Linked DNA regions of Bombyx mori. Each later gene encodes a partner of the first gene's protein in a complex. Links are inferred from orthologs where the notes say so. Each region holds a gene or a part of one and is shown in the gene's direction. Other genes may lie near its edges.

Region 1 (4,059 bases):
TATCACAAACCAACCGCATGTACATGGGTGTGCGACAGATATTATGCGATTGGGTGATCAGCTTATAATGTTCATGTGGATGACGGGATCTAGGTTGAGATGTCTGCTCGGTAATTCCTCAACAGCAGGTAGAGTTTTGAGCTCGTCTGCCAAACGGCATTAATAAAATAAAAGATACAAAACATAATGCAGGGACAACACATAGCACAATTATGGCCTTGCAAACCATTATGCACGCAGCGATTCTACTTGTTTTTTTTTTTAAAATAGATTGATCATCGGAGTAACGGACCACTTGGTGTTAAGATAAATCGATTCCCTCGCCCACCTTCGTACATGATGTACAAATCACAATAAAATCTATCCTTAATTCCGTTCAGAAAACGCTCTGGCGGTACCTAAATAAATACATAATTATATATTTATATGACCAAAGGTACAGAAAAGGTACAGTTACAGTTACAGAAAAACAATACAATTTTCCATTAGGCTTAAGGACTCTAGAAGATGTACAGCCTATTCGCCAATTCTCAAGAAGACAGCAGGGTGCCTCACCTTTGGACTGACAGGCGCTCACTGGGCAGACAGAAAAAAATAATTGCGTATTCGCTCAGCTATCAAAAAGCAGAACGGATAGGGAGATTTGTCTACTGCCGCCCTACCGAGGAACTCTACCGAGATTACTGAACCGAGGCCTTAGTCAGGACATTGTATATCTCCGACGACCTTTCAAAATCAGTCGGAAATAATTACGTTGGAAGCACGTTGCATTGCATTCACTTTATGATTTGGCCCTTTTTTCACGTAACAATTTAACACAAAGTGAGCGGTGAGCTCGATGTCTGTAACTAGGAAGAATTTGAGAGAGAGATCCTTATCAAATCTCTAGTGAGATTAGATGTGTCTTAATACGTGTAATTCCGAATAATTTAAGTAAATACATTTAATATAACTGTATTTTAACTAAATTAATTTTGATTTTATTATTAATAAAACTTTTGTTATTAATGAACTAACATTGAAGCTTTATTATCTATTAAGGTAAATTAAAGTTATTTTTATTGTCTATTTAAATATCTCATTGCATGTTATGTGGACTGCAATGGACATCTATTGACAAAAAATAGCCGTTGCTCATTCGTTGAAAGCCTGTGCTACAAGTTTCACTACCCAACAACAGATGGCAGAAAACAGCTACTAAAATATTTCTTATATGGCAACATTCCTCTATAAAACTCGACGCCATGATGCAAAATCCTCTCATTTGATTGGTCCGTGAAAACGAAGCTCAATGGCGTGCTCTGAATCCGCCATTTTACCGGCAACTGCTTGTGCCGGTTCACCCGTGAAAATTAAATACTGCATCGAGCCGCATTGCGGCCATCAATTGCTAATATTTAAAGGTAATCTTTTAATTCTCTCGTTTTGCTAGACTATGATGCATTTCAATTTGTATTTGCACTAGGTATCTCCACGATAAATTATATATTAATCGTGGTCGTTTTTTCGGTGCTATAACAGAAAGCTCACCCATTCGAAAGCACAAAATCCTTTCTGCTTTCGTCAGTTACGAGCCCTACATTTTAATTCCACACCTCTGTTTCAGTTGCTTAATTATTTGAAAAGATAAATTAACTAACCTAACCCGATTTATTTTCAGGGATAGGTTAAAATAAGATCACGATGTATCTCTACAATTTAACACTGCAAGGTTCATCTGCCATAACACATGCCGTACATGGAAATTTCTCTGGAACTAAGCAACAGGAGATTATTATATCACGTGGCAAAACACTTGAATTGTTACGGCCAGATCCGAACACGGGAAAGGTCCACACATTAATGAAAATTGAAATATTTGGTGTAGTTCGGTCTATTATGGCTTTTCGTCTAACCGGAGGAACAAAAGGTAAGTAAACTTTGGCCATGTGACCATGTGGTCCATTGAACTGTGTAGCTTATCTCTTTTAAATTATCTTAATCCCAGAATTTCCTCTCAAATCCAATATTTTTACATTATATAAGATCGAAAATAACACTGCATCATCTTGCTCCATGTTTTTTATAACACAAAGAACATGGGATAACTAGATGCACAAAATATGGCCAAAGCGTCGCTCCTTGCATTTTCTCAATGTTGGGATGTACCGCAATGGAACAAACTAATCCTAACAGATAATGTGAACTTTTATGACTCTTGACTTTGTAGCATGCTTAACATGATAGATTATTGCACACATTATAAACGCAAAAATAACCTAAATCTCCAAAGTTATACCTAACCCTGAACTTACGAACAATAGAACACAACATTAAAATATAGAATTTTCTGCAGATTACATTGTGGTTGGTTCTGATTCTGGACGTATCATCATTTTGGAGTACATCCCAACTAAGAACATTTTGGAGAAAGTCCATCAAGAAACATTTGGTAAATCTGGCTGTAGGAGAATAGTTCCTGGTCAATATCTATCAATTGATCCTAAAGGAAGAGCTGTTATGATTGGTATGGACTTTTTCATAATACCTACCTCTTGAATCAATTTTAGTTTTGGGTTCCAAAAGAGTAGTTTTGGAATGCTGCAACTAAAAATTACAATTAACCTTTAGCACTGCTACAAAGCCATAAGACTTTCTTCTCGTCTCGAAAATCTGCCAGAGTTGCTGATATTCAGTGGTACAAAACGTGGAGTATTAAATTCTAATGCCCGTATCTTTAGACGTTTCGTCAAATAGTCCTCTTAACTCATCCGATGATGCTCGAGCATTCCTCCCAAACTTACTCGAGTTTGGTATTTTTAGTCGACCATTACAATATTCATCAACTGTCCTCGAGTGAGGTAATAATGATTAAAATTTGATCAAGCTTGACTTTATTTATTAGGTAGTAAGCAAAATATGACTCTTATGTAGGTAAATAAGGAGTTTCAAATATCTAACCACTAGTCTAAACAAGAGTCTAACCTCGAACTATTTACTTTATTAATAAAAATTATCAAAATATGTGCGAATCATGCACAGATCCAGGCCATTGCACAACAATATCATATATTTCCATTTGCGGTCCACATACTATTTGGAAATTGATAGAAAACCAGTCTTGAGGAACGTTCATGGTACGTCGCGACGTACCTTGACTTGACAGTTCGCTTACTTCACTCCGATTAGGAAAATTTTCCAAGGACGTTTGAGTGGAGTTTATTTTTACGACTAAGCATACCAAAACGCGCGTTGGAGGTTGAGTCGAGTCAAGCTCGTGTAAACGACTAAAGATACGGGTGTAAGATTTGTTTTCTCTGATTTTGGTTTATTGAAGGGAAACTAGTATAAGTTTACTTAAGCACTGTTTGTGCATACAATTTCAATTGGACCTTTTGTAATTTAATTTGTTTGTACCTTTTAATGTATACTGTAAATTTTTATTGGCATTTATGGTGATGTGAACCAATAAACTGGAAAATATAATTATTAAGATAAGTAATAATGGGACTCTAGTTATGCCACACATGTGATGCATTGATTTGAGACCAAAAATCGCACATGTCTTTTTTTAAGGTGATTATCTCACTCTAAAATCGAAAAACAGGTTTACTGTTTTGAAAACATCAGTAAAAAGATATAAATATCTTAATTCCAATGATGCTTGGTCAATCACTAACTTTTGGTTATCTCTGAAATACTGTCATTTACAATACCATACAATAAAAAAAAAAAAACAATTTTCACTGTCTGATCTTATAAAACTGCTTTTTGTACTTTGAATGGTACAATATTAAATTCATTACATTCCAATTTATTTGCTCAAATGAAATTTACAAAATCAGTACTCAAAGTTTATTTAAATTTTAGGTGCAATTGAAAAACAGAAATTGGTATACATTTTGAATAGAGATGCAGAAGCTCGACTAACAATATCTTCACCACTTGAAGCTCACAAGTCAAACACACTAGTTTATCACATGGTTGGTGTTGATGTTGGATTTGAAAATCCCATGTTTGCATGTTTGGAAATTGATTATGAAGAAGCTGATTCAGATCCTACCGGTTAGTAGTAATTTG
Region 2 (4,244 bases), on another chromosome or scaffold:
TAATTTGTTACAAATTTCGCTGTATGTAGCTATATCGAAATCAGGCGTTAAAGCTACTTTTAATTCGTGGAATATCTCTGGTGTTAGTAAATTCAGAAGCAAATCTTTCTGTAAGTCGCTGTTATCGATATCAAGAATTTTGCATTTGTTTTCGAAAAAATCAATGTAATCGTCAATTCTGAATGTATCTGGGTTGTATTTATCCATATTGAAATTTTTGATTATACTTATCTTGTTATCCGTATCATGTTTTGTAAAAGAGTCGTTCGTCACGCTCTTGGCTGTTGTATTGCAAGCTGCTGGTACCAACAATTTCAAGATTTGTAAAATCTGCTCCTGCTGATTTTGTTGTGCATGTAAAAATAATGCGAATTGTTCATCGTTCATCTTAATTTCTTTTAACTCGTCGCCAATATAATAATACAATGTTTTCAAGACATAGCATAAAATATAATAATGATAGATGGTAAAAATGACAATGTGTTCGAAGTATATTTCAAATAATGGAATATGGAAAAGAAGGTTACAACAATAAACTTATAAAAAATGTAAATAATCGCAAGGGTCAACCACTCCGCACTGCAATGAAGCAGCCTCACCCTGGGGAAACCACCTGCATGATCACGGCATCCCTACGCCTGGTAAGTATGATTTCGGAAGAGAAATACGAGAACGTCATCAACTGTGTAACATCTCGTCACTGCGATTCAGGAATTGTTGAATTTACATGCAGCGACATCCATTGATAACAAACTAAATAGAAATAAAAGTATCTCAGGGCGCTCCGAGAGTTACGACAGCGTGCACAGACATCAAAAACACACTAACTAGTCGGGGACGCGTAAGCTCACAATATCAAAATCAAATTTTAAATAATGACTTTGAGCAATAATTTCGTTTCATTTCATTTCTGATGGAGTTTGAATATAAATGTAATGGCAGGCAACACTTGACACATAATTACAGATTTCGAATATTAGAATTATTTTAAATATTTAAAAAACAGATGATTGTCTTCTCGTAAGAAAAAGTCAGAACTTCTCATCTAGACACGGTCAAAGAAACATGTAAGAGCTTTATAAAAATATAAAGATAATAATTTTATAATGGTGTAACAGTGTTCAAACTATCTGCAATATAATTAGAATGAAGAAGTGTGTTTTTAAATAGCCCCTCATCACCTACAGAGCCCAATCCCGTCAAATTTAACCGTCCAACAATTTCATCTCATTTCATTTCATGCCATGTTTCATGTTAATTAACTTCATTTCACAAAATCATTTTTCATTTAAAAAAAATACCAAAAATTAGGGTGCATGGTATGATACCTTTGCCTTTCCAATTAGAAAACTAAAACTACTAGTACCTAGATGTCCTAGACTATTTAGGACTAATATTGCTTAGCGTTTGATACTCTTTGGCTAGACTAAAAAAAATTGATAATTCTCAATTTATGCATAGTATACAGTTGCTTGCCAATAATATATTTAATTATTATTTGATACGTAGTAGGTACGTACCTACTTTGAAATTGTCATGCATTATAATTGACAATGGGTTCATGTTTACCTCTAAATTGAAGGAAACAATATTTATGATATACAGGAGACACATAACCTTATAAATTGGCTTGAACACTTTTCTTGACTTGAACAATTTTAATTTTGTGATTAAATAAATATCGCAATGAGTTATCCGGGCGGTGGTGGTAGAGGAATGGGGTTTGCCGGCTTCTCGATGCCGAAGCGAAACCCTTCGAATGTGTCTCTCCATGCTGTGCCGCCTCCAACGACGTCTATGCATGCTGTCCCACCGCCTTCCAGTGGTCTTTCAAAACAAGGATATTCTACAATGAGTGCTATTACACAAAATGCTGTAACTGGCACATGGGGTACTCTTGGGAAGAAACGCGCCAAAACCGAGGATGAGTAAGAGCAAAGCTTTAATTTGTTAAATAGAGTAGAGTGATAAATAAAGTAGAATTTTTAGATTAATATTCTCATTTATCTCATTATTCTCACAAATTTTACAAACACATTTATGTTTTGCTCGAAAACGATACCATGACTCTGTTTCGTAGGTATTTTGATGATGATGATGAACCTCCAACACCAGCGTTGGCTTATATACCTGCACCAGGAAGCCCTACTAATGCAGCAAGCAGTTCTAGGGTAAGTATGTAGATGACAGCTAGAATCTGTCCTGCTTATGATGATATTTTATAAATATGTAAACAGATACATCTGGTTAGTGACCGAGACTCATGGGTTCAATAGTTCTTGAAGTCTAGAATTGGATATTTTATCTTCAAAATTTAATTCTGCCAATTTTTTATTTATTTATTTATTTAAATTGTAATACTGTTCTTAGTATGGTGTTTTTCAGCATCAGTAACATCAGTTGGCTATGATCATCTAGTCGTTTCAGCTACTTAATACGGCTTTGATTTGTTTTTTTTTTATCCTTGACAATATTCACTTCGAAATTAATGAGCTGAAAAATACATGATCAATCAGCAGCCTATTTTAATGGGAAACAAAAAATTGCAATTGTTATCCTACCATTAGAATACATAATACAGGATTACATTGCAGCAAAAACAGCTCAGCGAATTGTACCACTCGTAGAAAAATCTTCTCATCATTAACAAATATCATGACTTAAGATTCTCTGATTAAAATGCCTGTCAACTGTTGTATGCAGATATAGCTTATTGAATTATATTTTTTTTACAAAATTGCAGGCTGATGATGATGATGAAGATCCTCTAGATGCCTACATGGCTGGGTTGGAACAACAGGCAGCTCGGGATTTGGTCACCAGTAAGGAGAATGCAGCCAGCGGAAAAGACAGTGTGAGAGGTACTAGGGGTGATATTGATGATATGGATGATGAAGAGAGTTATTATAAGTAAGTTACTTTAATTTTACGTTCATTGTTTTTTGTTAATTTAGCTGTAATTACGTCCAATTAATTTATGGAATAAACCTGTAAAAAAGCTTATCTAGATCTTATAAAATCTTCAAATTGCTTGATGTGATCTGTTTGTAAATATTTGTTCTTCTGGTTATGTGGATCTGTAGAAAATCGACACCCTTGAGGTGTGGTGGAATCTTAATGATATACAATGCAAAGCTCAACTGATGTAATTATTAGTATTTTTACATTAAACTTTTAGGTATATGGAAGAAAATCCTCTGAATAATGCAGATGACACATCTGATGTAGAAATAGAATATGATGAAGATGGCAATCCTTTAGCTCCAGCGAAGAAAAAGTTCATCGATCCCTTACCTCCTATAGACCACTCTGAGATAGACTATGAACCATTTGAAAAGAACTTCTACACTCCTCATGAAGATATTGAAAAGCTCACACATCAACAAGTTGAGGAATTAAAAAAGAATTTAGGTGTGAAGGTATGTTTAATATTGACATTTTACTAATGTTTATAAATTCACCTCTTGTGAGTCCGCACGGGTAGGTACCACCACCCTGCATATTTCTGCTGTGAAGCAGTAATGCGTTTCGGCTTGGAAGGGTGACAGCAGCTGTTGAAACTATACTGAAGCCTCAGAAGTCATATCTCAAGGTGGGTGGCGGCATTTACGTTGTAGATGTCTATGGGCTCTGGTAACCACTTAACACCAGGTGGGCTGTGAGCTCGTCGGCAATAAAAAAAAAGATTAACAATGTGTGCATCGGAACTAACGTAGACATATCCGGTTGCCTTGTAAATTCGCACAGTCGTTGTTATTACTTTAGGGAAAGATTTTGACAAAACATCATTATTGTACCATCATTGGCATAATAATACTCTCAATAGATCTATTTTATAAATTATAGTTACAGAAGAGTGGTATGATGCTGGGTTTTACTGGTTTATAATAAAAATATTTTGTAAATTACTGTTTTAACTGTATTTTTATTGGTGGTAGAGTTAACATTGTTATTTATATTTTGACATTCAACAAGTGTGTCATACTGACATCTAAGTTTAAATAAACGATTTTAAATTTGATTTAATTTATTTGTTAATGTATCCACAAATTTACACAAAAAATATTTAATTTAGAGAACCCTCAATACAATCCCAAGTGGCTAAAGGGTGATAATTATGGTGGCATACACATTATGATGTCTTTCTTGTCTACACAAAGTAAAGGCTGCTGCCCACTCACCTTACGACAGTATTATTTTATAACACACAAATGTAAGTGTTGAAAGAGATGGAAGTTTGCAAT
Region 3 (3,162 bases), on another chromosome or scaffold:
AAATGCAACGTAGGCCGCGAAAAAAAATTGCGATGTTTATGGACCTAGTGCTGTGTCTGTGAAAGTAGCACAAAATTGGTTTAAGCGTTTTCAATACGAAATTTTTATTTTAAGAATTTGTACGTCGCTCTAATCGAATCTTTTTGAAAAAGTGAAAGTGACTGATCGCATCTTTTTGAAAAAGTAAAGCAAGATCGGCATATCAGTAGTTACGACGTAGCTGAAGAACTGGGAATTGACTACAAAACAGCTTTGGCTCATTTGAAAAAAAATAGATACACAAAAAAGTTCGATATTTGGGTACCTCACGAGCTCACTGAAAGAAACCTAATGAACCGTGTACTCATTTGTGATTCTTTATTACGACGTAATGAAACCGAACCATGTTTGAAGAAGCTGATAACTGGTGATGAAAAGTGGATCACGCACGACAAGAACGTACGAAAAAAGTCGTGGTCAAAGGTCCGTCAGGCTTCACAGACTGTGGCAAAACCTGGGTTAACTTGCAACAAGGTGATGCTGTTTGTGTAGTGGAATTGGAAGGACATTATTCATTATGAGCTGTTACCACCAGGCAAGACCATTGATTCTGAACTCTACTGCGAACAACTGATGAGATTAAAGGAAGAAGTTGAGAGAAAGTGGCCAGAATTAATCAACAGAAGGAGTGTGGCTTTTCATCATGATAACAATGTGACCTTACACATCTTTAGCCATTCAGCAAAAATTAAGAGAGCTTGACTGGAAGATGTTAATGCATCCGCTGTTTATCCGTATATCCGTCCTGACCTTGCACCTTCAGGTTTCCACCTGTTTCGGTTCTTCAGAATTCTTTAGGCAGTGTCAGATTAACATCACGAGAGGACTGCCAAAACCAATTGTCTCGGTATTTTGATCAGAAGCCCCAAATTTTTTATAGCAATGGGATCATGTCCCTATTTACAAAATGGCAAAAAGCTATCGAACAAAATGATACCTACATACTTAAGTTAAATGTAAATAAACTATTAAAAAAATTTGTTAATTTTCTTAAAAAATGCGAAGAAACTTTTTCCCCAACCTATTATATTAATTTTCATGTAACTGAATATATAAAAGATTAGGCTGTATAATATATATATGCTTTCGCCTTTCTTGTTAGAAAATGGAAATACTACAACTAATCATTTGTCAGTTTTGTCACTGCTAGTTGTCAATTAGAAACATTTCGTTTGTGTTGTTAAGGATGATTTTCTCGTGTTATTTTTTTAATAGATCTAATTGATTACTCTTCCCTCTGGGTACACGTTTAATATAAAACAAACAAGTGGAGTGTGTAAGAAAATCATAACTTGTAATTGTTGTGAAATAAATACTATAAAATTTAAACATGAGTATGCGCCCCGATGACCACCGAAGAAAATGGGACAAAGAGGAATTCGAGAAAATTGCAGCCGAGCGTTTGAAAGCAGAGCTAGAAGAAGAAGAAAAATCCAAGAAGAAAGGTAAAATATTTGTGTCAACACACTTTGTTACGTTAAAATACAAATTTGACACAATATATAAATGTTTGTTTAATTTTCATTTTCCAGCCACTCCAGTCAAACGTGAACTTCTCAAACAACGTGAATATAAAGTAGATTTGGACTCGAGACTCGGGAAGAGTGTAGTAATCAATAAGAATACGCCAACGTCCCAATCTGGAGGATATTATTGTAATGTTTGTGACTGTGTTGTTAAAGATTCAATAAATTTCCTTGATCACATCAATGGTAAAAAACATCAGAGGAATCTGGGAATGTCCATGAAAATAGAAAGGAGCAGCTTAGATCAGGTGAGCTTACTTTTTCACATGTATGTATATGCATAGTACCAAGCAGGTAAATAGGATTGTTGACTTGCTACTAGATTTATGGTCTGAGATCATCAATTGGCCACTGTTGCATCAAAATAATAACAAACATCATGAACCAACGCTATTATTTTTGTGATTGCCTGAGTTGAGCAAACCTACCATCCCACTCAACTAGAGCACTCAATATTAAAATAATTCTCAACAAATTCTTTCAATCTTAATTTTATCAAGTTCTAATGCTATTGTTAAGGAATAATAAATGTAAAATGTTCAACCAAATAGATGATTTAAATTTCTAGACCACTAATTTGAAATAATCTATCTAACTCATCTAGCTGTTCTCAATTTTATAAATACCATTCAGGTTTTAATAATATTTATTCTATTCTATCATAGCTACTACTACTACATTATATTTGTTTGGTTCCAGGTAAAAGCAAGATTTGCACTCAATAAACGAAAGTTGGAAGAGAAAAAGCGTGAATATGAATTAGACACAAGATTAAAGGAAGCCGCTGAAGAAGAAGCTCGTGTGAAAGAGCTACGTAGGGAGAGACGTCGGGACAAGAAACGGAAGTTAATGGAGAATGATGAAATAGATGATACACCAGCACCTTCTGAATTAGCACAAATTATGGGGTTTTCTGGCTTTGGAGGATCTAAAAAATGATATGTTTTAAAATGTAAAGCTTATATTAATAAATACTGTGTGGTACAATAATGTTTCATTGAATGTTTTAATTATTATTTGGCTAATAATTCTATTTGCCCTGACCTTGTTTTATCAAGGTATAATTATGAACTTTGATTTAGCAGACAGGATAATATTACCATATTTATTTGGAAAAGGCTAGAAAAAACGACACCATGTAAATGTAACATGTTCCAAATGCTTTTTCCAATTAAAAAATATAAATTATAAGGCTACAATGTCCACTACCGGACTTGGTATGAGGGCATGTTTTTCATGTGCTAGATGAAAGCTTTTCACTGACTCCAGTAGTCCTGTATATGTCAAAACTCACATCAACTTTAGTTTTTGGGATTTGGGATTTTGGGATATGTAAATCGCACGTGACTACTTTGACTGACTGACTTTTCGAGGACAATAAACAATTCAACAACAAAATCAGTTGGCTGGGCGTTAAAAGAGCGCTCATCTCTCTACTCTAAGTCGTTTCTGTTGAGTCTGGGCTAAGATAACGATCTCGCCCAAATCTATAAATTAAAATAAGACATGACTTAAAGGTCTTAGTCACCAGGTCATAAAATACCTTAAAAAAAGAATTTTATATAATACTTTTTGGCGGGAACGCGAGGCGTGAAGT
Region 4 (4,088 bases), on another chromosome or scaffold:
TGAGATGATTCTCCTTACCTCTTCCTTCTAGAACCAATATGCATGTCTTTAATGTTGTTCATATTTCCATTCGGAAATTAAAAAAAATATAATAATGATTATATCTCTAGCACTACATAAATGTTTTCATTGTATTTTATGAATGATAGCTTCGCCATGGCATGATGATTTAGATATTGCATTGCGATAAAAGGTATTTTTTATCAAATTATACGTTGTAATATTCTTCCATTTGCTGTTGTAGGCAGCTCATCAAACAACCCACCTGGTGTTGAGTGGCTGTAGTTGCTCATGGACTTCGGAAATGCAGGGACTTCGAAAAAAAAGCCGATGCCTACCGAGTTTTATCAAAGATCTCGAGACTTGTCGCAGTAATCTTATGGTTCAGTAAAACAATAAATAAAAACTAAGTTATATAATTAAGATAAATTATCTTTGTTACTATTAATTCAAACAGCTATCTGGTTTAAAAGACTTAAATCCAGGCCCTTAAAAAAATCCTAGTTGTATCTCTATTAATATCTATGATTTTTAGAACAGACAAGATTGTATGGGTTTAGATCTCTTTGCTTTTCCTAGTAAGGAAAAATTGTACCAAAAAATATCTATGCAGTGTGACCATATGTGGCAGGATCTTGCCATTTTGGCAGGATTGGACTCTTACACCGGTCACTCACATGCGCACGAATACGCAAACCCGCAAGTGTAGGACGACATTTGCAAATGATTATGCAAAGTTTTCGCCACATTCGTGGTTTTCCAAGCTGTGTCGGTTTTTAACAGACATCAAAGCGCGCGAACCGCGAACCTTCGCGTAGTCTCTCACACATTCGTTTGCCCAGTTGCGCCGACGATTGCGAATGTAACGGACGAATCGCCATTTTCATAGTTTTTCACGTCTACTGTGTAGCGTATCTTCATCAAAAGAAATCCCATAAAAACCGCATGGCTGTTAATGATGTCTGGGAAAGAATTCAAAACTCTTTTTCTCTTCAATGTTCTATTGACGAATTAAAAAGGAGGAGAAATTCGTGAGACATTCGTAAACAAGTGTAGGAGGAAGCGCAAACGGGTTCGCAAATTGAGTATGCGAACCCATTTGCACGGCCGCTAGGTTTGCGAATGAATGTTTGACGGCCTTTCACATGCGCGCAAACATTCGTACAATGTACGAATATTTGCGCGCATGTCAGTGGCCGGCATAAGGCAGGATCTATAGTTAAGAGATGGTCACACTGTATCTATGGTTTACGTATACATTTCATACATACTACTTCAATGAATAAAATATATCTAAAAAACGTTGATGATTTGATTCTTCATTATTGTTATTATCTAAAATATTGATTTCAATACTCAGTAACGTAAATTTAGTACAGTTGATTCAACTGAGTTGAAGCATATTTTGTATGCTACCATATATTTTCTCACATAATTTAAACTTCAAAATCATTAATCATTATTTTAATATTATTGTATTTTACAAGGTGATTGACATAAAACAATTTCTATAACCTTTAAAAATGGAAACAATTTTAGAGCAACAACGAAGCTACCATGAGGAAAGGGAAAGAACCATGGACGCAATGGTCAAAGAAATTCTTCACAAAAAAACTGGGGTAAGCCATGTTACATGATCACTGTAGATTGGATTTACCTAAGGGGTGCGGGTGCCTTATTGAGGTTAATAAATTAAAAACAGTTGCTTGATGTTAGCTTATTGAAATACATACACACATGAATACCCCTTCAAAGATTTTTTTGTTTGTACATTAAGGTGAAACTTAGTAACAATCACCTAGTACACCTATTGCACATAGTAATATGGTTACATTTTTTGTTGTATTTATTTTTTAGAAATGAACTAAATGTATTTGTTTAAAATTAAATGTCTAATTCTGATGCATTTAACATTTGAATGAACTGCTGAATGAATGGTACCTTTGTTGTATAAATTCAGGGCTGTTATCGAACAGATGAAACAATTAATAAGTTAGTTTTGTTATGAAACTACTAATTACAACTTAGATTTTTTACATTTTTAATGTGATCTGCATTGTTCCATCTATAACAATGTTTCAGCTTGATTTATTGTTGATTTGGTTTGTCCCATTAGGGACACCTTGTATGGTACTATTAGGCACTACAACTTTGTTAGTTTCTGTCTTGAAGCTATTCTACACACCAGTCAGAACTGAAGCCTCTAGTAGACTCTTATTTTGTGGCATTAATGTCTTAATGTACAAGTAACCATTTAATACTATTTAGGCTGTGGGCTTATGCATTATTTCTTCTTCTTTTTCTCCACCTTATCCCACTATGTGGGGTCGGCACAGCTAATTTTTCTCTTCCATTCTCTTCTATCAGCCGTCATCTCAACACTCACTCCTCTCTCTCTCATATCGTCATTCACACACTCCATCCATGTCTTCTTTGGTCGACCTCTTCCCCCTCTACCTTGCACTACCATTTCCATACATCTCCTAGTCACATGCATCTTCTCTCTACGCATCACATGTCCATACCACGCTAACCGTCCGCTCCTTAATTTGTTGTTTACCGGGGCCACTTTCACACTTCCTCTGATATACTCATTCTTTATCTTATCCATTCTTGTCACTCCACACATCCATCTCAACATTCGCATCTCTGCCGCATGCACTCCTCTTTCATGCTTTGCTTAACTTTCGTCGCCCAACACTCAGATCCATACAGCACGACAGGTCTAATGATCGTTTTGTAAATTTTGCCCTTGAGCTGAAGGGGCATTCTACGATCGCATGCTGTTGCAGAGACCTGTCGCCATTTCATCCAACCAGCGTTTATTCGATTTGCGACGTCCCGGTCTATGTTGCCGTCGTTCTGGAGTATAGAGCCGAGGTACTTGAAGTCGATTGGCGTGAAGTCTGAAGAACCACCAAAATCACAAAACATGTGCTTGGTTTTTGTTCGACAGATCTTCAAACCCACGTTTTCCAACCTTTCTTTCCATTTTGCCAATCTCCTCTGTATCTCAGGCCCTTCCTCTCCAACGAGAACAATGTCGTCGGCGAACAGCATACACCAAGGCGCCTCTTCCTGTATGTCCGATGTTAGGGCATCCATTATTAGGATGAACAGGTAAGGGCTTAAAGCTGATCCCTGGTGTAAGCCTACCGCCACACTGAACTCGTCGCTATTGCCAGCTGCGGAGCGTACGTACGTACTAGCTCTACCGTACATAGCTCGAACAAGCCGTTGGTATTTCCCTGGCACTCCTTTCACTTTCATGCTCCACCACAAAACCTCACGGGGAACCCTATCATACGCTTTTTCTAAATCAACAAATTGCATTATTATGTAATTACATATCATCATTATCCTGCCCTTCTCCCAGTCACCTGGGGTCGGCGCAACATGTTTTCTCCTTCCATACTCTTCTATCATATACCATTTCTTCGCTCACTCCCCTCCTACCCATATCGTCTTTCACACAATCCATCCATTTCTTCTTAGGTCTACCTCTTCCTCTAAATCCTTCCACATTCATAGTTAACACTCTCTTAACAACCTCATTTTCATTCCGTCTCATCACATGTCCATACCATCCCAAACGTGCACTCCTCAGCTTCTCTGTCACAGGTGCCACTTTCAGACTTCCTCTAACATATTCATTCCGTATTCTATCCATTCTCGTTACTCCACACATCCATCGCAACATTCGCATCTCTGCTGCATGCAATCGCCTTTCATCCGCCACTTTCGTTGTCCAACAAGCTGATCCATACAAGACGGCAGGCCTTATTAAGGTCTTATATATCTTCCCTTTTAGGGGAAGAGGGATGTGCGAGTCACATATGGTGCCCGTGACCTGCCGCCATTTCATCCATCCTGCGTCAATTCTGTGCCTCACAGTACGATCCAGTTCACCGTCGCTTTGGATAACAGACCCTAGGTATCGGAAGTCTTGACATACTGGCAAAGGTGTTCCGTCGAGGGAAATGGGTGTAAAATTGGAGAGACCGCCAAAATCACAGAACAGATGTTCGGTTTTCGATCTGCTGATTTTTAGGCCAACACTCTCCAACTTGCATCGCCATTTCTCCAGT

What was found. The genes of interacting proteins can lie anywhere in the genome.
Region 2: the proteins of splicing factor 3B subunit 3 (region 1) and ATP-dependent RNA helicase DDX42 are in contact, whole or in part, in a cryo-EM structure (PDB 7EVN), measured with the Homo sapiens proteins. The link is inferred for Bombyx mori from reciprocal best matches to the Homo sapiens genes SF3B3 and DDX42. Residues at the interface, in NP_036558.3 of Homo sapiens: Glu159, Ala160, His161, Tyr211, His219, Val220, Val221, Arg222, Lys223; in NP_031398.2 of Homo sapiens: Lys145, Gly146, Ile147, Arg148, Asp149, Asp150.
Region 3: splicing factor 3B subunit 3 (region 1) and zinc finger matrin-type protein 2 share a complex: the UniProt entries of both Homo sapiens proteins name them as parts of the spliceosome B complex. The link is inferred for Bombyx mori from reciprocal best matches to the Homo sapiens genes SF3B3 and ZMAT2.
Region 4: splicing factor 3B subunit 3 (region 1) and splicing factor 3A subunit 3 share a complex: the UniProt entries of both Homo sapiens proteins name them as parts of the 17S U2 SnRNP complex. The link is inferred for Bombyx mori from reciprocal best matches to the Homo sapiens genes SF3B3 and SF3A3.

The regions. Positions count from the first base shown.
Region 1 is NC_085117.1:14,815,535-14,819,593, reverse strand, and holds the start of splicing factor 3B subunit 3, read left to right. Parts: upstream 1-1,242; 5' UTR 1,243-1,403; intron 1,404-1,660; 5' UTR 1,661-1,683; coding exon 1,684-1,909; intron 1,910-2,335; coding exon 2,336-2,506; intron 2,507-3,849; coding exon 3,850-4,044; intron 4,045-4,059. UniProt on the Homo sapiens protein: Component of the 17S U2 SnRNP complex of the spliceosome, a large ribonucleoprotein complex that removes introns from transcribed pre-mRNAs.
Region 2 is NC_085114.1:15,057,985-15,062,228, forward strand, and holds the start of ATP-dependent RNA helicase DDX42, read left to right. Parts: upstream 1-1,337; 5' UTR 1,338-1,686; coding exon 1,687-1,928; intron 1,929-2,080; coding exon 2,081-2,171; intron 2,172-2,743; coding exon 2,744-2,910; intron 2,911-3,178; coding exon 3,179-3,419; intron 3,420-4,244. UniProt on the Homo sapiens protein: ATP-dependent RNA helicase that binds to partially double-stranded RNAs (dsRNAs) in order to unwind RNA secondary structures. Unwinding is promoted in the presence of single-strand binding proteins.
Region 3 is NC_085128.1:9,737,927-9,741,088, reverse strand, and holds zinc finger matrin-type protein 2, read left to right. Parts: upstream 1-1,166; 5' UTR 1,167-1,369; coding exon 1,370-1,484; intron 1,485-1,571; coding exon 1,572-1,813; intron 1,814-2,264; coding exon 2,265-2,504; 3' UTR 2,505-2,555; downstream 2,556-3,162. UniProt on the Homo sapiens protein: Involved in pre-mRNA splicing as a component of the spliceosome.
Region 4 is NC_085112.1:8,797,922-8,802,009, reverse strand, and holds the start of splicing factor 3A subunit 3, read left to right. Parts: upstream 1-1,181; 5' UTR 1,182-1,523; coding exon 1,524-1,619; intron 1,620-4,088. UniProt on the Homo sapiens protein: Component of the 17S U2 SnRNP complex of the spliceosome, a large ribonucleoprotein complex that removes introns from transcribed pre-mRNAs.